Linked DNA regions of Rhinolophus ferrumequinum. The protein of the gene in region 2 interacts with the protein of the main gene of each other region in a biochemical or structural test. Links are inferred from orthologs where the notes say so. Each region holds a gene or a part of one and is shown on either strand. Other genes may lie near its edges. The genes, in order: AGO2, TNRC6B and AGO1.

Region 1 (7,526 bases), on a different chromosome or scaffold from region 2:
GAAACTAGAAGTTAACGAAAAATATTCTGCTTCCTAAACAGGCTTTAGGAGTTGGGGCTTTTACTTTTTTTCCTTACACACTTATTTAACTTCTTCTTCAAGGTTTGTAACAGATCCAAGGGGACTCTGTACAACTACCCACCGCCCTCCGCACCAGGGCAGAGGCCATCTGCCGCGATGGCCCGCGTGCTCCACTAGTGGGAGATGGGTCCTATCTTCCCTGAGATAACCGAGGGTGGGGAGACGAAGTGGGGTGCAGGAGGAGTTAGAAACCACGATGGAAGCCGTTACTTCTCCAAGTCACCATCCTGCCTGGACCATTCTCCAAGGAGCCTCGGTGTCCCCAAGGTTACTTTGTAGCCTATCTGAGTGGAGTGGTGACCCCCAGGAGTCGAAACACAGTGAGACCAACGATGCCCTCACAGAAGGCATTTGCTCAGACACAGGCTAAGGTCATGAAAGGGTTAAATAAACAAAACGAAACTCATTGGTTCACCCAGGAAGGTTCACGGTCACTGGCGAATCCACCCACCCCAAACCACTAACTCTTTCGAACAGTTAAACAAAAGACGAATAGTAACATACCTAACCTGAGAGTCCAGATATTCACGCATGCGCTCGAGCAGTGACGATGGGCATAAGAGACCTACTGTGAACTCTATTTTAAAAATTAATTTACTGGGTAAGTCGCTTAGTAAGTGTATTAAAATTGGAAGTAGCAAAACTGTTTGTAATTTTTGTACAATCCAGATCGAATGTCTTCTCGTTATTCTAAATTAAGAAATATAATATTAAAAAGAGTTTCATTGAGGAGACTCTAGTCCAAAAATTAAAAGCCTTAGTGTGTAGAATAAAATCGTGTGCCACCACAGCCTTGTAATTACAGCTCACTCATACAGCTTGAAAGTTGGGTTCAGTCCCATCCTGCCATTATCTAAGAACTATCCAGACCCATTTATTTTCTCAGGCTCCGCTGGCCGGCTGCAGGGCACGCTGGTCTGTGCAGCACGGCCCTCTCCCACCATGCACAGCACGGAGGCCTGCACCACAGCAAGAGTCTTCCAAAAGCCCTCAGCGACCAGAAAAGGGAGCCAGGAGATGGACGGGACTAAAGCATTTAAAAAAAAAAATGAAACAGACGAGGAAATCTCATGATGCAGGTTATGCAGTAAGGTGAGCGGTGCCTCCAGAAGCTCCAGTTTCAACGATACCTGTGTGTACTCACACCCCACTCTAGTCCAGATGTAACAGGTATTTCTCACTGTGGGTCAAAGTCAAAAGACTGACAGCCACTACTCTCTGAGGACAGTGCACAGAGAGTCAGCTTGGGGATCAGACAGATCGTCCTAATGCTCGCTGGTCCTATGACCTTGGCAAGGTCTTAACCTCTCTGAGCCTCTGTCATGATGAACACCACCAACTTAGCAAGCTGTCCCGCAGATTCAATACCGTGAAACACAACACAAAAACTTGACCTTCCTCAAGGTTCTTCACTTTCTCCAGGCCTTCGACTTTTAAACCGAAAACCAGGAAACATGTCCAGTGGGGCAGCAAACACTTGCTGGGTCCTCTACAAGGATCATCTGGGAGAGGGGCGACCCGGCCAAGTCACAGATGGGGGTGGGGGGCACCGCCCAGAATCTCAAGAAGCCAAATATGCCCCAGGACAGTAACAGCAAGAGTCCAGGCCCATTCCCCACAAGGGCTGAGTCCCCTCCCAGGTGGAGGGTTAAAGTCATTCTTCAGTCAACTTGCTGAGTGCCCTTAAGAGTTTGTCAGGCTCAGCCTTGGAGAAGCTAAGTGACATCAGAAAAAAGACACTCAGAAGTCACAGACATAGATCTGTTTGTGAACAGACACACAGTGGGAGACAATGTCAAGGGACCCGAGCGGATCAAGAGGGGCTTCCAGACTGGAGATCTGGAGCAGGTCTGGAACAGGTGGGGCCAGGGCCCCATGGCAGGAGGCCGTCAAGGGCCCAGGCCTGGGACACACCTAGCACAGGGCCAGAGCCCCCTAGCATGGAGCCCGTGGGGCCTGCAGCTTGCTCCAGCCTGGCGGACAAAGGGGACAGGCAATACCCTGTGCAAGTGGCAGGGCCAGCGGGAAATTTAGAAGCCACGTGCCTGGCGGGAGGCAGCGATAAAGCTTTATAACACTGGACCATTTTCTTGGACGAGCAAGTCAATGGTCCTTCTAACTGTGCATTTAAAAAAGGTGGGGGCAATGTGTTACCGCTTTTAGCATTTTAAGTTTTTTAGAACTTCTCCAAAGGAAAAGGCTGACTAGTAAGAAGGGGTGCTAAGGAAATCAACACATCTCCTTACCTCTCCTAGCAAATTGGAAAAGGCAATTAGCACTTGAATAAGGGGCTGGCGTGTCTGGAATGAGACTGAGCCGCATGCAGTTTCAGGGTTCAGGGGACCGCTTCCTATCCCTCTCAGTTTACAATCCGAACTACCAACAGCAATTGGCCAAAATTCAGCATCTGCAGACTTTCCTTCAGAGAAGGGGCCGCAGAAGTGCTGGCAACAAGAAAAACGAAACTGAGTGCGCTCCAGCCTCGCCGCCTCCTCTCCCGCCGCCCGCGCCCCGCGCCCCGCGCCCCGCGCCCCGCGCCCCGCGCCCCGACCCGGGCCTGCGTCCTCGGCGCTCAGAGCCCGGCCTCCGCGCCCGACCCGGCGGCGCGGGGCCCACACGCGGGCCTCGGGCCTACACGCGCCCGCCCGGCCCTGGTCCCGGCCCGCGGGGCCCCAGGCGGCGACGGGGACGCGGGAGGCCCAGGCCGCGGGGGCGCCCCGACGACCCGGCCCGAGAAGGCCGGGCTGAGCGGCTGCGCCGGGATCGGGGAACGGCCGGCGGCTCCGGGCCCCGGTTCCCGGCCCCGAACCGCCGCCCGCCCGCCGCCCGGGCCCGGCCCGCGCCGCGCTCGCGCCCGCCCGCCAACCGCTCCCCGCGCCGCGCGCGAGGACTCACCGGTGCCGGCTCCCGAGTACATGGTGGCGCCGCCGAGGGGCTCCGGGGCCGAGGGGCGGCCGCGCGCGCGCCACGGGCCCCGACGCCGCGAGCCGCGAGGGAGCCGCCGGCCGCACGATCCGCCCCAGCGCGGCCGCCTGGCCAAACAGGTTTACCCGACGCGGCCCGGGCGGCGGGCGGAGGCGGCGGCGGCGGCGGGAGGGGGAGGGGAGGAGGGAGGGGGCGGGGCGGGGAGAGGGAGGGGCGAGGGAGGAGAGGGCGGGGGAGGAGGGAGGCGCGAGCGCAGGCGGGAGAAGGGAAGGGGAGCCGGGCGCGCGCGAGTCTGGGGGGCCCGGGCGGGGACCCCGCGGGGCGGTGGAAACTGGGGGCGGGCGGGGATCCAGGACCCGGCCTGGGGCGGGACCGGGACGGGGACGGGGGCGGCGCGGAGCGGGGGGGGGGGGGGGGGACCCCTCACAGCCACTCAGATGGGCGACGTGGCCTCTGCCGGGGCGGAGCAGGGCCAGCTCGGCGTCGCTGCCGGAGACCTGGGAGAAAGACGAGAAAACAGCCCTTGTTTCCCCGCCGCCTCCGGGCTCGTGGGGACCCCCTTCTGGTTGTTCGCGGGGTGTGGAGGGGGGCGCGCATGACCCTCTCCATCCTCACCCCACCCGGCCGGGTGCACTTGGGCACGGGTTGGGGGCCCAGCGTCTCAGCCTGGCCTTTTTTTTTTTTTTTTTTTTTTTTTAAGTTATTAACCAAACCTGAATGTCGGGAAGCTAGCTTCCCACCCGGAGTTTGAACTGGAACGCGTCCGGCCCTCGTACACGACCACACCGCCACCTCCCGGCCAAGAACCCAGAAAATCCATGTAAAAAAATTCTTACTAAGTTTCGGTAAATTTCAGATGCCGTCAACGACGCGATCAGACTAAAACTCCCCGGGCCAGCACTCAGGGGTCTCCCCAGGCTCTTCACACGGGTCCCCATCGTGCTCCTGCGTGCGTTTCTGTACCTGCCCCACCTGCGTCGGAACTCCTCCCTCGTACCCACATCCTCCGTCCTTCACGTCCCCCGGGGTCCAGCGGTATTTTGGAGCCTTTTCCAGGGCAGCCAACGGGAACCTCCTTTCTCCCCTAATCGTAGGTGAAACAGTGCAGAGGTGCTCATCACCTTGTAACATCCTTGCTCGCTCGCTTCTTCACTCTATAAACTTGTATCATCTGCTACTGGTTGCTAGGAGCGGCGTGTTCCTCCCGCGGAGGGTAACGTGGACGTGAACTGGAGTCCCGCTTGCAAGGAGGTCGGCATGCAATAGGTTCATCACCAGTTCTTCGGCAACCCTCAAGGATCTCCCTAAAGAAGGGCAGGAAAACCAGCATTTCCTCCAGAGAGAAACTTAAAGGGACATCAATCTTCAAATCATTGACATCAATCAGTCTTCCAGATGCCCATCCATCACTCTCTAATCCTCGGCCCACCATCTCCACCCTCACGGCGGACCAGGTGGTCTGGAGCACCTGAAAAGCCCCTGAAATCACTCTCCGCCATTACCCACTCTCCACCCAACAGTCTCTTGTGTGAACACACATCTGATCTTGTGCCTGCTTTGCTCCAAATCCTTCATTGGCTCCCCATTTCCGTACGCACGTGGTCCACACTCTCCATTTGGTTTCCAGTGCCCTGTGACACAGCCCTACCTGCTTTGCCAGAATCTTCTACTTCACCCCCTTCAGGTTCTTCCTCGAGTGTTACTGCGAGAGTGGGACTGAGTACAATCATTTTGAAGACCAGTGTCTGGCAGAGCTGACCACCGGGCCCCAGGTGGACAGGCTGCTGAATGTGCGACCCCGAGCACAGGACTGGGCACCACCCAGGTACTCAGCCGTGGAACAGGTCAGAGAGCCGTACATATTCATAAAGGTGAACCCAGTGAGAACGAACACCCTTCAGCTAAGTGTGACCCGCATCTCAGCAATGTTGGTGAAAGAAGCCACAGGCCACACTCCCTGCAGAATCCCAGTTATGAAGTTCCAAAGCAGGAGCCATGAAACCACATGGGTCAGGGATGCATAATTAAGTAATTAAGAGCTAAGGAAAAAGGAGGTGGTTACCATAAGAATCAGAATGGTGGGTACTGGTTGGCGGCAGGGGGTTGCTGTGACCAGAGGCCTTGGGGGATTTTGGGGTGCCGGGCACTCTCATTCCGGTACCACTACTGTTGGTTTGGCAAGTCTCCTAAGCTGTACATTTACTTTCTATATACTTTTCTGTACCTTTACTATAGTTCACAACCGAAACATTGTAACATACCAGACATGACTCCACTGTGTATGAACCATGACCCTCCGAGGTGTGTCTCTGTCTTACACACCCAGCACAGTGTCGCCTCCCCGAAATCCCCAATGACTCAGAGGCTTAAACGCTCTGCTGCTTCTGCTGTAACCTATGGCCTCTGGAAACCACCGGAAAACTGTTTCATCTCCTTCCCTCAGCGCCCTGCTTCTGGGAGAGCCCAGGCGGGTTTAAGTTTGTTGCCAGGGTTCCTTTGCAGGAGGTCTGGCAAGATAGTATCTCTCAGGCGTTTCTTTGTGTCACTGCCCCGCCGAGATTGACACGCGCGATCCCTGCTGGTGGAGGAGCGCTATTGCGGCCTGCCGGGCCCTCCAGACCCGTGAGCCCAGGATCTGGGTGGGGTTCTCCTGCCCCCCGCTGCTAGGACTGGGGTTCCCCTGTGCCCTCCTCTCCCAGACTTTACCCCCCACTGCCTGTGCTGAGGAATCCCACCCCTTTCCTGCCCCCGGCCCCGCAGCTCCAGGCCCACAAGCATCAAACCAAGTTCAGCAGCTCAGCCGTCCTCCCCACCTGCTCCTTCTCCTGTGCCCCCAGCAGAGCCAACACTCACCATCCACCGAAGAAACCCCAGGGCCTCTGCCTGCTACCTCTACCGCAATCCGTGAATCCATTTAACCCACTTACTCGAGTCCACTCAATTCTGGCTTAACATGGCTCTAGAACCGCATCCAACTGCCGCTGCCCGGTTTCGTCAGGCCTTCAACCAACACCTGGATGTTGGCCCCACAGGGCCGACTCACGGGTCTTCCGGGGCCCAGTCTCTCTCCCTGATACAGGGGTCCCTATGCTCTGCTAAGACTGCAGGGCCTAATCACTGCCAGGGTCCCCCATGCTGGTCAGCCCCGGTTTGCGCATTGGGTGCCGCGGTCTAGAGCAGTTCCGCGCGGGGAGGCCAAGCGCACAGCGCCCTCCTGCGGTCATCCCACCCACGACGCTCTCAACTCAAGAGGCCCTACGCTTCTTCACGACACTGGAATAATTCGATTGTTCCAAAAACATGTCTGCACGTGATAAAAGAGGAGTTAGAAGGTCCAATAAATTGGGAATCATTCAGTTAAACAACACCAAACGGATTTATTGACCGCCAGCCTTCACAGAGCCTTTAACAAAAGATTAAGAATCAGGATTCTACAAAGAGGAAGGAAGAGAAAAGACCCTATGCAGCCTGTCCCAAATCTATTCCGCGACAGAACCCGTTTATCCCAGGGCACCTTCGGGTTCCATGGAGCACACTTTGGGAAACACTGAGGTAGAAATCTATGATCTCTTGCAGCTCTAATGTTTAAAGATCGTTTGGATAAAAATATCAGCTGTCTGTCTGAATTGAAAACCCAAGAGTGTGGTTGTGGATTGACAAATACTTCCATCAAAGTAGGAACAGAGTCCACGTGGCAGCCATTTCTCCACACGGAAACCACTGAGTCTGAACGCAGATCACTTTGTCATTTTGTGCACCCAACAGAGGCAGGCGGTCAGGGCTGCCTCCTTGCACAGACCCCGAGGCCACTGACACCGCGGTCTGCAGAGGGTATCACTCACTGGGACACAGAACTGCAAGAGGGGCTCATCCAGCAGTGCTCCTGAGACACTGTCGGCTGGCTCCACGACGGTTCTTTCTTCTGTGTAGTAAGGAGAGAAGAACCAAGCTGTCACTAACGTGAGGACACTGAAAAACTGACTCTCAATGGAGGGAAGATTTAAATGTGAACATAAAACAGACAAAAAATCAGGAGAAAAATCTTTGGGATCTAGGGCTAGGCAAATAGTTCTTACACTTGACACCAAAAATCACAATCCGTAACAGGAAAAGTGGGTACACTGGACTTCATCAAAATTCAAGCTTTTGCTCTGTGAAAGGCCCGGTTAAAAGGGTCAAAAGATGAGCTATCGAGTGGGAGAAAATATTTGTATACCGCACATCTGACAAAGTATCTAGAATATATAAAGAACCCTCAAAACTCAACAGTAAAAAAACAAACTTCATTTAGAATAGGGGCAAAAGACCTGGAGAGAGATTTCACTAAAGAGGAGATACGGAGGGTAAGAGCTCAAATAGGTAACCTGAAAAACAAATAAGATGGAAAGATGTTCCACATCACTGACCATTAGGAAAATGCAAGTTCCAGCCACAGTAAGACAACAATACACACCCACTACAATGCCTAAAATAAAAACAGTGACAGCGTGTGCAAGATGCCACAAAGTCTTGCTTCTGCT
Region 2 (7,213 bases):
TTTGCTACCTCTTAGACCATTTCTTTCCAGTCCCTTTTGATGGACAGTCTTCCTCTGCTTGTCCTTTCATTACTGGTATGTTCCTCAAGAGTTCATCCTCCCCTTTCTCCATTTATTAGATATACATGTCCTTATCCTCTCCTATAGATTTAACTACTACCTGTATCTTGATGACTCCCAAATCTCTCCCCAGTGTTGACCTTTCCTACAATCTTCAAGGCCATCTATCTATACAACTGCCTTTGTATGGGGACATACGAATGTCAGGGGACTTCTCCACCTCATGTCCCACGGGTCCCCATAACATAACTAAAACTAAAATAACCTTCCCCCAAACTGTATCCTCCTTCTGTCTCACTTGGAAATATTATACTATCATCTCACTCAAAGAAAAATCTGGGGACCGGCCCGGTGGCTCAGGCAGTTAGAGCTCCATGCTCCTAACTCTGAAGACTGCCGGTTCGATTCCCACATGGGCCAGTGGGCTCTCGACCACAAGGTTGCCGGTTCGATTCCTCGAGTCCCACAAGGGATGGTGGGCTCCGCCCCCTGCAACTAAGATTGAACAGGGCACCTTGAGCTGAGCTGCCGCTGAGCTCCCGGATGGCTCCGTTGGTTGGAGCGTGGCCTCTCAACCACAAGGTTGCCGGTTCGACTCCTTCCAGCAGGATGGTGGGCTGCGCCCCCTGCAACTAGCAACTGGCAACTGGACCTGGAGCTGAGCTGCGCCCTCCACAACTAAGATTGAAAGGACAACAACTTGACTTGGAAAAAAAAAAAAAAAAGTCCTGGAAGTACACACTGTTCCCCAATAAAAGTCCTGTTCCCCTTCCCCAATAAAATCTTTAAAAAAAAAAAAAAGAAAAGAAAAATCTGGGACCATGACCAGCATCATCTTCTCACCAAACTCTATCAATTCTAATCCCCACATATTTCCGTGTGTATTTTCTTCCCCGTTCCTACTGCCATGGCCTTAGTTTTGCAATAGTTTCTCATCAGATTTATTCCAACTGTTTTTTAAATTGTTTTCTTACCCTCAAGACCAACCCCACCTCCGCTGCCATGAGAATCACCTTTACAAAGTGCAAACCCACACTGCCCTTGCAATGTCTCTCATCCATCTTCGAGAGAAAGTCCCATTCCCACTGTGTGGTCTACAAGGCCCCGTACCAGTTCACCTCTCGGCTTCATCTCACAAAACCACACTGCTGTCAGTGTCCCTTAAGCACCGCATGGTTTCACGTGCCTCTGACCCTGTACATGCCATTTCCACCTGGACTGTCTTCCCACTCACAAGGCAAATTCTTTTTCAACCTTCAAGATGCAGGCATAGAGAAACCTTTTCTAGGAAGTCTTTCTTGATTCCTCTCTCTTGCTACAGGATGGGTCCTTCCTCTGAGTTAGCAACTGTGCTTGGCACATATTTCCACGAGGCTTGTGTACGCTGTGTATACTACTAGGTTATTAGCTTCCTGAAGACAGGCTCTGAGCCTGATTTATCACTGTATCACCATCATTTAAAACAGTGCTAGTGCAAAGGACATCCCCATAAACTCTTATGGAATAAAAACACACTTTGGGGGAAAAAATAAAGTAAACTCAATGCAATAGTCTTGGTTTATTCAAATAAGGACACTGCTTATAAGTTATAACTGTATGTCCAGGGCTACAGTACAGACTCCATTCATTCATTCATTCATTCATTCATTCATTCATTCATTCAGTGAATGAGCCACCTACCAGGTACCATGCTCTGTTCTAGAACACCATGGTAAAGTAATGCCAGGATCTCAGGCCAGTGTGGTATTTGCGTGAGACCCTCAGACTTCCAGGGAGAGCCTGTGCGCAAACTTTGGAACTAATAGCAGGATCCTGGCATAAAGATGTTAAATTTATTTTTACATCTTCTTAGCAAGGGTTGCCTGAGAAAAACAAACTCAGTCTGAAGCGGGGTGAAGACAAAGGCAAGTGCCTCACCTTCAGCTACTAACCCAGTTTGGTCAATTAATTAATGCTCTCTAGCTTAGTCCAGGACAATTTGCCAATTCTTTACCAGAAAGGCACGCTACCTTCTGAAGACTAAACCAACTGCTAGTCACTTGGCGGTAGGGGCGGGGATGGCAGGGACTAGCCGTAATAAGAAGGGCAGAAGCAGCTACTCAACAGCTTTGCTGAACGCTTACTAAGCGCCCAGCACTACGCTCGGCCTATGGCCATCAACAAGAGCCTGTGGCCAGGTTTTACTGCCATTGTTGGACACATAAAAATTAAATAGATTAACACGCTCAGCTTTTATAGCCAATTATTGATGATCTATGATCAAAAACCCTTTATTCTTTTTCCATATTGTATATTAATTTAATGAGTTTTTTTTAATCAAATAGCTATTTCTACTAAGGTTCACAAAATTTTAACTGCGTCTCGGTTCTACAATAAACCAGTGAGTTTGGGAAATTTTAATATTGATATTGAAAATAATAATACGAATAACCATTACCAACTGTTTATGCTGTGCTCAGCAGTATATATCATGAACGTCTCAAAAACCTCTCACTTAAGATATCCCTGTCCTCAGAGGTCTTACACTACTGATAAGGAGGAGAAAACTAGCACGCCAAACAATTCCACAAAAACCAAGCATGAAGCTGTGCGGCACAGAAATTTAGAGAACACAGAGAAAAAGTGGGCTAGACAAGCTATGCAGCCCTCAGAGAGAAACTGGGATTCCAACTGGAACTGACAGCGGTTAACGCAATGATTCTCAAACTTTTTGGTCTCAGGACTGCTTCAGAATTTTAAAAATTACTGAGAACCCCAAAGAGCTTTTGTTCATGTGGATTAATTGTCAGTATTTACCACATTAAAAATTAAACTATGAAAATTTAAAAATATTTATTCGTAACTATTCATTTAAAAATATTAAACAATTACATGTTAAACATTTTTAAATTAAAAATATTTTAAAGGATAAAAATTTTGAGAAAAGTGCCACTGTTTACATTTTTGCAGATATCTTTACTACCTGGCTTAAGAGACAACAGCTGGCCCCTAGGATCTGCTTCTGCATTCAATCCTTTGCGTCTCACATGTCACGTAGCCTCTGGAAAACTCCACTGCACAATCATGAGAGAATGAGTTAAAAGGCTTATCATCTTAGTACTAATAAAACAGTTGTGACTTCACACACCCCCTGAAAGGGTCTGGATTGGGGAACGGGGAGGGATCCCCAGACCAAATTTTGGCTAATTATTAATTTTAAAAGAGAAAGAAAATGGGTTCTGTGATCTAATAAGCAAGGGCTGGGCAGGAAGGAAGTGTGTGGTTCGAAAGCCATTAACTTCCACGTACGCAACTCTTACTCCTAACATTTTGGAGCTACAATCTAGCTCACCTCCATTGTGAATCTCAGAGAGACAAACGGCAGGGCAAGGTGGGGTTCTGGTGACAGCGGGACAAGGAGCCTCTCCCTCAGCAAGTCCCCCAGCAACATTCCCTGAAGGCCACGTCAGGGTTTCCTCTGTGGCGCCTACACTGTGCTCTCCTCCTAGAAGCTGTAAATGGCTCACGAGAAACTGCCTCGCATGGCTTCCCGAGGCTGTGTTTACTGAGTGAAAAATCATCTCACTGCTACCAGCTCCAATACGGGAGACATTTCTTGGTCTGGCTGTCGTAAAAAGCAGATTTAACATCAGCCACGTAGCCAGGTTTTTCCTGCCAATAATCATGGGAGTCTGCTCCCCCGTTCCCGGGCATCTTGTGCACTTGTAAAAACAGTTCCTGCAGCTTCATATGTCACGGATCTAGTTGCCATAAAATGAAAACATTTTCTTCATATTTTGTGGCACAAACTAAAAGCATTCTGGATGTGGTTTGCATACAGTCCATCTCTGGCCAAAAGGGAGGTTTAATTATGTGGACAGACAGAGAAAGGGAGGTGGCTATACCCATGGTTAAACTGTTTTTATCATCAAAGTCAATGTTTGATAATGGATGTTTTTAATTTAAAATTTTACCATGATTAATTCTCTAAAATTAATATGCAATAAGCACAATTGTTCATTTTATGCAGCAAGTTTTCACTTGTCTTAACAATATTTTATAGTTGAGAAAAGCAGATGAAACAGAAGCTTCTTTTTTGATCTCTTAAATTAAAAAAAAACAGAAAAAAGCATGACTCTATATAGTTTTTCAGTTGTTTTTTTTTTGTTTTTTGTAGTAAACATATTTATTAAGGCCCCTTTACAGAACAGACCATTCTGAAGTCAAAGTGAAACTAAAACTCTGAAAGATTTCTGCTCTGGGAATGGTAAACTAGGTAATTCAGACCAACTAATGCTGAGGACAATCAGAAAATCTGGACAAAATGTAAAAAGTATTTTGAAGGCAGAGGAGTACTAACAAGTTAATTAGGAATTAACATATACAAAAATCAATTTCAGGTGAACTACACACCCAAATGTGAAAGATAAATAATAAAGCTTTTTGAAGATAACACAGGAGTAGGGAGGGCTCTCTTACACAGGACACAAAAAGTACCTATTACTAAAAAATAAATATGACTATATGAAAATTCAGAATTTTTGTTCATCAAAAGACATAAGAAAGTGAGAAAGTAGAACACATAAAACCAATAAAGGGCTCATATTCGAAATAACAGAGAGTTCTAAAAGTTAAAAACAAAAGACATAACTCAATAGGAAAATGGGGAAGAGATTAGATGAGGCACATTACCAAACAAACAAACAAACAAAAAAACTACACAATCTAAATGGCCAATAAACATCCGAAAAAATGTCAAGCCTCAATAGTAAGTGAGAAAGTACAAAAGAAAATACAAAAGAAAATCATGATGATGCCAGAATAGCTACAAATTTTAGCTGACATGGTAGTCTGCTACCATGTTTCCCTGAAAATAAGACCAGGTCTTACATTAATTTTTGTTACAAAAGATGCATTAGGGCGTATTTTCAGGGGACGTCTTAGTTTTTCAGATACAACAGTCTACATTTATCCAAATACAGTCACGTCATCTTCTTCTGGAACATCGTCAGAACATACTAAATGCATCCATCTGGCTGACAATCTTAACTGGGGCTTATTTTTGAGGTAGGTCTTATTTTCAGGGAAACACGGTAATAACAAATATTGCTGAGGATACGGAACAGAAGGAACTCTGATACTCCACTTGTGTGAGTGTGAGTTGTTATATCCACTTTGGAATACAGTTTGGCATTATTCTTCTAAAGTTAAAGACAAACACACTTCATGATCCAGCAATGACACTCCCAGCTTTATACCCTGCAGAATTCATGGACATGTGCACCAAAAGACATGTATAAAAATATTCAGAGCAGCACCATTCACAATAGTTTCTAACTGGGAACAACCCAAGTATTCTCAATAGTGAAACAGATAAATATGCATTCTGGCATATTCATAAAATGGAATACCATACAGCACCGAAAATGAAGCAGCAGCCCACAACAACATGGGTGAATCTCGCAAACATAATGACCAGATACAAAAAAATTCATAGCATGTGACTCTGTGTTCAGAATCAGCCCGAACTATAATGTTTAGAGGTACACATGAGTAGTAAAAGTAGAAAGAAAAGAAAGAAATCAGAAGAGCAGTTACTTGTAGGTGGGAAGGCAGGGGTAATGACTAGCAAAGGTCACTAAAAAGGGGCTACAGTGTCCCAGCAATGTCCTATTTCTTGACCTGAGAGGTAGTTTTTTAAAACGATTCATTAAGTTTTACATTTGCATTTTATGTACTTTTCTGGTTCTGTGATATATTTCACAATAAAGAAGAATGAAAGCAAGAAAAAGAAAATAATTACTAAGAAAACTGGTATCTTTGGTATAACATTAAAAATGAGATCACAGGACCAAGCTCCTTAGACGGCATCTGGCCCTTCATTGTCCAGTCCGATCTTTCTAGTCTCATCTCTTGCCACCCACCATTCTTCACAAGTAGTCTGCCATACTTGCTCTCAACCTGTGCTTCCTTTTTACCTTAACTCATGATATTTCTCTGTCTAAAAAACCATGTAGACATATCCCAATCTCCTGCCAGACTAAGTACAAACTGTCACTCAAGACACAGGCTGGATGTCATCTCCTGTGAGAAACTTCTTCAGGAGACACAGAGTCTAGAGGCACATTGCTTGGTTCAAATTCCAGACCTGCCATTTACTGGTAAGGTGACCTTGGTCAACTTACCAACCTTAGTTTTGTAACTTCTTCATCTGTAAAATAGGATAAAAATATGACCTGCCTCACTGGGTGGTTGTGAAGATGAAATGGAGAAGTGTATGCAAAGTGCTCGGAACATGCCTGGGAGAGAGTAAGCACTAGGCATTAGCTATTATTACTAACTAGGTGTTAGCTAATATTATTATCAATAACACACTGGTAATGTCCTGCCTACCCCCACAGCCCCTCCCCCATACCTACTCTTGCTCTGGGTTCCCACGGCTCCGTAACATAGGGTATGTGCTTGTATACAGCTCTTACGGATAACTTCTGGAGAGTTAAATCTTTCACATCTCAACCCCCATCATCCATCATAGAGCCGGGCACGTACTAGGTGCTCCATGAGTATCTGTGCATGAATAAACTACAGAGACTCCAGATGTGGGTCTGTATCACATAGAAGAGTAGTCCCTGATGTTGCCCTATCCTGTGTGTACCGTAGACCACAAACTGGACGTACAGTCTGGATGAGGCTCCTGCAGCAATGACCTCAGAATATAGGTGGAGACTCCCTCTGAGAACAACAGATGAGGGACAAATAATAGTACTTGTCCTACCTACAGTTGTGAGACTATTGTGTGAGGCTCGAATAATGACTATGAAAATATATTGTTAAGTGTGAATCTTTACTATATGAGGTTTCATTACCTTAAAAACACCAGGATTATTGTTGAATTGCAAGTCTGTAAAGGCCTTTAAGGGACCATAAAGAATTAATATAATGTAAAAATGCAATCTGATATGGTCTAAGATAAAATTTTAACTTGGGGGTTAAAATATTTTGCAATGAAATTTCCCGATTTTCTCATTTGGTTATTAATTATTTATGTAATATTAAAACAAACATTTGTGTATGTGAATATTCACAGCAGCAATTATTCATAATAGCCCGAAGTGGAAACAATCCAAATGTCCATCAACTGGTGAATAGATAACCAAAACCATGGTACATCCAC
Region 3 (7,215 bases), on a different chromosome or scaffold from region 2:
CAAGAGAGCCCCCATGCTTCCTCATCCCAAAACTAGGGAAGGCAGGAGGAAGGGGGAAGCTCTCTCCAATTCCATCCCTCCGCAAGCCTTACAGCTGTAGAAAGTGCCCCAGCCCCCAGCTTTTAGTCTGAGAAAGGGAGACACTTCCCTTCAGACCCAGACAGGGACAGACGGCCACTTTGTGATGCAGATGAGGGCCCCAGCACAGAGGACAAAGCTTGGGCCTTGGGGGAAAGGGGCGGGGCCCTTCCTTACAGACAAAAGCAAGGAGGGAGGGGCCGTGAAAAGGACACTCCCCCTCCCCCATCCCAACCAGCCCTGAGAAGGAAAAGTAACAGAGCTGAAATGCCTGGCTCAGGGATTCTTTCCCTGCAGTTTCTGAGGCCCACAAAACTCCCAAGGAGCCAGACAGCCTATTCAAAAGACAAACTCAAGGCTAGGTTAGCTGTCAGTAAGCAAAGACTAAGAGGCCAATCTCTCCAAAAAGAATTTGTCCACACATAAGTATACGCAAATTATTAAATATTCACATACGTGCTTAACCATTTATGTCACTCTGGACTGGACTCAGTTCAGTTAATAAACATGTACTTTGTGTCAGGACCTACACATGTGCTGGTTTCACAGATAAATTAGACACTACCTGTACCTTCAGGGAGCTACCAGTCTAGTATGTGTTTGGAACACACCTGAGCACAGAAGGCACACTTGGACTTAGGCCCAGTGAAGCCAGCAACAATACCTTAGTTTTGTGTATTGTGTCCTCCAACTTCCAAGAGACTAGTCTGGGCCTAAGAAGGACGCACTTATGTGGGTACCTCTATTGATAGCTTCCAAAATGAATTTCAGTTACATCATTTGATGAAGCAAAGCCTGCCCCACGAGGCTACAGCCAACTCCAGATACCAAGCTCTAGTCCCTTCCCTAGAAGCTTATTTATTGGAAGAAACAGTTTTTTCATCACTCCAGAGCCCATTAGGAATTCATCAGAATAAAATCATTAGCAGTCTGGCATGGGTGTCAACTCCCAGCAATCTATCTGGACCTGTGACCTACTCCTACTCTAGTCCACAGGTTGTTGCAAAGTCTCCAGCCTAGAAAACCAGGAGAGTTCCTGGAATGGAGAAAGGGGCCTGAGGGAAGGAGGAAGTAGTTTTCTGAAGTCTGTTGCTCCCTGCACTCCACCTTAAGACCTATACAGCCTTTCCAAGGTTGTTTTCTCTTGGAGGAAAGTACTTACAGATCTCTGAATGGATGACTTGAATGAGTTGGTAGGAGCTAGTGCCTTGAGGGGATTAGATCTGGTATAAAAGACAAAGATTCTTCCACCAGAAATGAAATTCAAGTCCCCAAAGGAAACCCTACTCCCACCCCCAGATCAAATGGTAGGAGCTGGTGAGATACGACCTAAAGGAGTCCCAGGTCCAGAATGCTCCTCCCATCAAAGGACAGGACACAGGTGGTGCCACCATCCCACAGCCCATTCTGGAGACTCCAGTCTTCGTGGGGCAGTCCAGCCTCAGTTTCTCCTGTTTTTATCTCCTTTTCTCCTGATTGCCCATGAACAAGGAGAAAGTAAGGCTATCATCACCTGAACTCACCAGGGTGAAGGTTATAAACCCCTCCTCCCCCAAACAACTGATAGATGACAAAGGGCTAGCTTGGCAATCTTAGGTCAAATGACATGGCCCTGACAGTTTCTGGGGATTAGAGAGAGGAAAAAGATATCCAGTGGGAGATAGGAGCAATAAAAGTGTTAAGGTATAGAATGAGATTAGGCTGTCACCTCAGGAGATATTTCAATGGAAAGGTCATTATCCTTTGATTAAATGATCCCATCTCTACTCGCTATTAGACCAGGCAGACAACCTCTTCCAGGTAAACCAGGGCCTGCCTGGCCTTGGTCCCTCAGTAATCAATACCTTTCCTAAGGCCTATCTTTAGGGAGGCCCCGCCCCAAGAACACTGCCTTGTCTTTCCTTGTCCCAGTGGCAGAATAAGGCACTTTGGCAGTTTCCCTCAACTCATTCTTGGCAAATTGTGACTGAGGGTTTTGCCAAGGGTTAAGAAGCCCCAAGATGAGGAAGGGGACCATTTCCATTTGCGCTCTGCCAGCATAACCTTAGAGAGAATGCACCCCCATCGGCGCGCTCTTATTTCCAAGCCAAATCGCGCGGGGTGGGGAGTTGGGGAGATTCGGGCAGCCACGCCCCCACCACATAGGGCTGCCCCTTCCAGCTGCCACCTCCGCGCATGCTCCAGCGCCTCTGCTCCAGCTCCCCGGACTCACCGGGTGGAATCCCAGGGCTGGATCCCCACCCACCGCCCCCTGACCCTCGCCCCCGCGTCAGGCCCGGCTGGGGCGGAGCTCACAGTCCAGCTCTGGCGCCTTCTCCCAAGAGACACTAACCCAGCCCAGACCGGCTGAGCCCCCGCCCCCGGCATGCGGCAGTTCTGGGCCCATCTGTGTCGACCCCCTCCTCTCCTGGACACCTGGAGCCCGCCCCGTGCCACCTGCCGGGCCTCTCCCTAGGCCTCCAGGGACCTCCGGGAGTCCTTACGTGCGTTCAGGCCCTTCTCCCAGATTACTTCCCACCTCCAGGAGTGCATAGTGCCTCCTTTGATAAACGGCCCCGATCTCAGGGCTCCCTTCACCAGGTTTCCCCCGGAACTGCACACAGCCCCCTTCAAACTGGGCCCCCCATCCCACAAGAGCCCCTCTCCTCACTCAAGAAACCTTCCCTGACTCGGATTTACTGCTCTGCACGCGGGAGTCCCTTGGTCCTTTGGAGCACGCACCGTCCCCCCTTCCCGGGGGCCCTTACCTGCTCCCGAGGGTCCCGCTTCCATCCCATATACCCGTGCGGAGGTCAGGCGGCCGGGAGACTGTGGAGTCCAGCGTGAGGGGCCTAGGTACCCTGCACTCTAGCTGCTCGGGCTCCCGGGCCGGGCTCGGCTCCCCCCCGAAGCCCGGCCGCTCGCGCCGCCACCCCCACAGCCTCCGTTGCCGCCGCCGCCGCGGAGCCTGCAGCAGCTCCCCCTGCGAGCGCCCGGCCAGCTGCCAGTGCGCAGGCGCGACCGCCAGGCCCAGGGGGCGGACGGGAACGAGTCAAGCGGGGCGCTCCGACGGCAACAAAGGCCAATGGAGAGGGGCGGGGGCACCCGGGACCGAGGCAGCGGCCCCTGGCGGTCACCCGTCGCCATGCAGCCCGGCCGGAGGGCTTGGGTAGAGGCGCAGCGGAACCGCGCAGTGGCGTAAGTGGCGCAGGGCGGGGGGACACCCCCCGCAGCAGCCTCCGGCCCTGTCTTTCACCCAAACAGCTCCCTCCCAGCCTACACAGAGCCTCCCCGCTTTGCACAGAGCCACGCGCACATTACAGGAACCCTACTTCATTCCAAGGCCCGCTTCACATTCTCCGTGCAACCCATCACCCCGCGGCTCTGCCTACCACCTCGCCTCCCCATTTCTTTCATCCTTCACCCCTTGGCTGCAAAGCTACTGCCTCCCTGAAGCCTTTTTCCGTCCCTAGTCACTGAATTCACTGATGCCATCCTCATTTCCAGGCCGAGTGCTGGGCACAGAGACCACAGATAATGAAAGAGACCTGCTTACTACCCTGGACGATGTCACAGTTTCAACTTGACTGCAGCTACAGAGTTCTGTCTGTGGGACCTGGCAAGCACCGGTCTCCACTTTCTCATCTACAGCTCACGCCTGAACTCAATCTGCGTGTCCTCGCCACTTCACTTAAAAGACTTTTTGTGTCAAAATTCAAAGGATAATTTTCAATTCTTATTTCTCTGCAACATCTGACACTGTGTCTCTCCTTCTTTTTTGAGCCCTCTACTTGGCTTCAGTATTTTCTGAGATTTCCTATTATTGCTTACCTCCTTTTCGGTCTTAATCAAGAGCCCCCTTTTGCTTTTGCCCCCCTAAATAACAGTGTTCCCCATGGTTTCAAACCCAGCTCTCTTCTCATTCCACTCTCCACTTTCCCCTTGAAGGTCTCACCCATTCTTACGGCTCAACTATCCTTCCAAATCTCTATTTCCAGCCAAGTCTCAGACTCATATTTCCAAGTGTCTGCTGGACAGCTCCACCTGGATATCCTACCAGTACTTCAAATTTAGAGTCCAAAACCAAACTCTTTATCTTTACCCCACAAACATGCTTGTCCTATGCTTCTTGTCTCTGCAAATGGCACCTTCATCCCAGAAATGAAGTTTCTCTCCCTTGCTTCTTCCCCCTATTCAGCTTTTCACCAAGTCCTGACATGTTTACCTCCTAAACTACTCTTACATGATCCCCTGCCATTCTGATGGTTCCTTGTGATAGTACAGACCCTTATTACACCTTGCCAAAAGTATCACACCACTTCCTCGCTAGTCTCACAGGTTCTGGGAAGAGTCCTCCCATTCGGTCTGCTGCAGTTGATACTTGGTAAGAAACCCAGTTCAAACATCACTTTCCCTTATATTTATTCATATGTATTCATCCATATGTATTTTTTTATGCCTACTTTACACTAGATGCTGCGCTGAGGGCAAGGAACTTAAGAGACAGATCTCACACACCCAGTCCCTACCCATAGAGAGATTAATTTCTGACACTCATCATAGTATGCCTTGCTTCTCTCTAACAGAGGTTCTCAAACAGCAGGCATTAGAATAACCTGGAGAACCTGTTACAACACTGATTGCAGAGCCCCAGTTCCAGAGCTTGTGATTCAGTAGGTCTTGGGTGGGACCCAAGAACGTGCATTTCTAATAAGTTTCCAGGTGAGGCTGAAGCTGCCAATCTGGGTACCACACTTTGAGAACCACTGCTGTACAGGATAAAGTTAAAAACAAAGACTCTTGAGCCAAACTGTTTGGGTTTCAATCCAGGTGCTACCATTCACAAGCTGTGTAACACTAGGAAAATAACTTATCTGTGTCTCAGTTTCCTTCTCCCTCATTTCCTTCCACCTCATTGGGCTGTTGTTAATACATATAAAGACCTCAGAACAGTGCATAGAAGAATGCAGGCAAAGTGTCAGCTGCTATCATACTGTACCATGTTTCCCTGAAAATAAGACCTAGCCAGACAATCAGCTCTAATGCATCTTTTGGAGCAACAATTAATATAAGACCGGTATTATATTATATTATACCTGGTATATTTATATTATATTATATTATATTATATTATATTATATTATATTATACCCGTTCTTATATTCTAGTAAAATAAGACAGGGTCTTACATTAATTTTTGCTCCAAAAGACGCATTAGAGCTGATTGTCCGGCTAGGTCGTATTTTCGGGGAAACACAGTAATTATTGGCTGCTTCTTGCACTATAGTCTAAGTTCTTTAACAACAGGGACCACATCAGATGCATTTCTGTCACCCTTTAGTGGCTGGCACAAGCTGTGCCTAGAATGATCAGTAAATCTGGATTGATTTGAATCAAATAGATGGCATCAAAACATCCCCAGAAATAGCCAAGACCTTTACCTTGGTATAACTAAGCTGGAAGCTCAGCATTCCATGAGAGTTTGAATCCCCTGTTCTAAATACCAAGCCTCACACTCAACTTTGTGGAAAGCCGTTGGTCACTATTCTGACCCAGGTCCAAAGTGGCTAGCAGAGTCAAGCCGGGCCCTGGGCTCTCCGGGTCTCTCTGCAGTGTCTCCATCATCAGGGATTTTACTCTTGGCTAGGCAAAGTGGTAGAATATAAGGGAAATCCAGATAGCATTTTGCTGTTTTATGCTGAGAAATTCTTCCAGTAACTGTTGATAGCTTTTCTTCCAGAAAGCTATTGGTTGCCTCTGTTTCCAGTTCCATTCTTGCATCTCAGTCCATAGCTAACTCACACCCTAGGGCATCTGCTGAGTGGGCCAGAGCCCAGGTCCTTCCACTTTTATACCTTCTCTATACCCAGAGTTTCCTGGTCCCAAAACAACAAGTATGGCCTGAAGAAAAATCTGCATCTCAATCTATATTTTCCTTTCCTTAATATTTAAAAAACAGCCTGGGAACAATAAAATCAAGGTGGTATAATAGACATAAAACAAAATGTATACCCTACTATCAGGAAATGAATCACCAACAGCTCTTGCATGCACCACCTCTTTCTATCTATAACAAAATACATCTTTTAATGTATTTCAGAAGATAATTTTAAAAATCAGAAATCATGAACAATGGAATTAATAAATGTCAGCTAGTACTTTGTAAAGACTTGTGAAATTGGTAGACATTTTTAAATCACTTTTTTAAATTGAAGTATAATTGACACAATAAACTGCACTTATATAGTGTACAATGTAATTAATTCTACCATATGTATCAACTTATGAAACATCACCACAATTGAGACATTGAACATATTTATCACTCCTAAATTTTAAAACTCATCACAGAGATTTAATTTAAATTACATATATATTTTTACTTTAAAAAATGCAAAGCAAGGACTCAAAAGCAAGAGTTGAGCAACAATTAAGGAAGACGCTGAGAAAGTTATCAAAAATAACCAAAGAACACCAGGCTCAGGAGTTTCACTGTTTAATATTTCCAAACATTCTTGAAAGAGTTAATCCTGTTCCACGTTATTTGAATGGTTTTAGAACATGGGGAAAAGGGGAATTTTCCTAATTTGTTCAGAATAGCAGATAAAGATCCTCATCTCTTATCAGATGATGATATTATAAAAAGAATTCTCAGGAATGTGGATGCAAACATCACAAGTCAAATGTTAGCATATAGAATTCTATAACAGATTAATTAAAATTATGATAATAATAATAAATGAAGACATAGATATGACTGTGCCACATCACCTGGGGCCCAAAAGAGTTAGCAGAACCTGCAATTCAGTCAAAAATGAGATTTCCTAAGACTAACAAATAAATAAGATCAGACATTAAAAAAAAAAAAGCGATAGAGACACAGAGAGGATAAGTAACTTGCCCAAGATCAAGATAACACAGCTTGCAACTAGCAGAGGCAGAACTTGAATCCAGGCTCGATGGCTTCAGTATCAACATTCTTAACCACAACACTATATGACATTATTATTAAAAGAATAGCATATCAACACAAGGGTAATTCAGGGATGGTTCAAAAATTAAAAAATCTTAATATAATATACAATATATGTGATTAATCAAAAATAAACAATTATCATAGATAAAAATATTTGATACATTTTAATATCCAGTCTTAAA

Evidence for each region.
Region 1: the proteins of TNRC6B (region 2) and AGO2 form a complex in vitro, tested with the Homo sapiens proteins (3 studies listed by BioGRID and IntAct, with this or other methods). The link is inferred for Rhinolophus ferrumequinum from reciprocal best matches to the Homo sapiens genes TNRC6B and AGO2.
Region 3: the proteins of TNRC6B (region 2) and AGO1 form a complex in vitro, tested with the Homo sapiens proteins (2 studies listed by BioGRID and IntAct). The link is inferred for Rhinolophus ferrumequinum from reciprocal best matches to the Homo sapiens genes TNRC6B and AGO1.

Annotation. Positions count from the first base shown.
Region 1 is NC_046297.1:71,130,387-71,137,912, forward strand, and holds the start of AGO2 (protein argonaute-2), read right to left. Parts: upstream 3,092-7,526; 5' UTR 2,999-3,091; coding exon 2,977-2,998; intron 1-2,976.
Region 2 is NC_046293.1:7,522,782-7,529,994, forward strand, and holds the start of TNRC6B (trinucleotide repeat-containing gene 6B protein), read right to left. Parts: upstream 3,081-7,213; 5' UTR 3,068-3,080; coding exon 3,023-3,067; intron 1-3,022.
Region 3 is NC_046292.1:24,903,520-24,910,734, reverse strand, and holds the start of AGO1 (protein argonaute-1), read right to left. Parts: upstream 3,067-7,215; 5' UTR 2,851-3,066; coding exon 2,826-2,850; intron 1-2,825.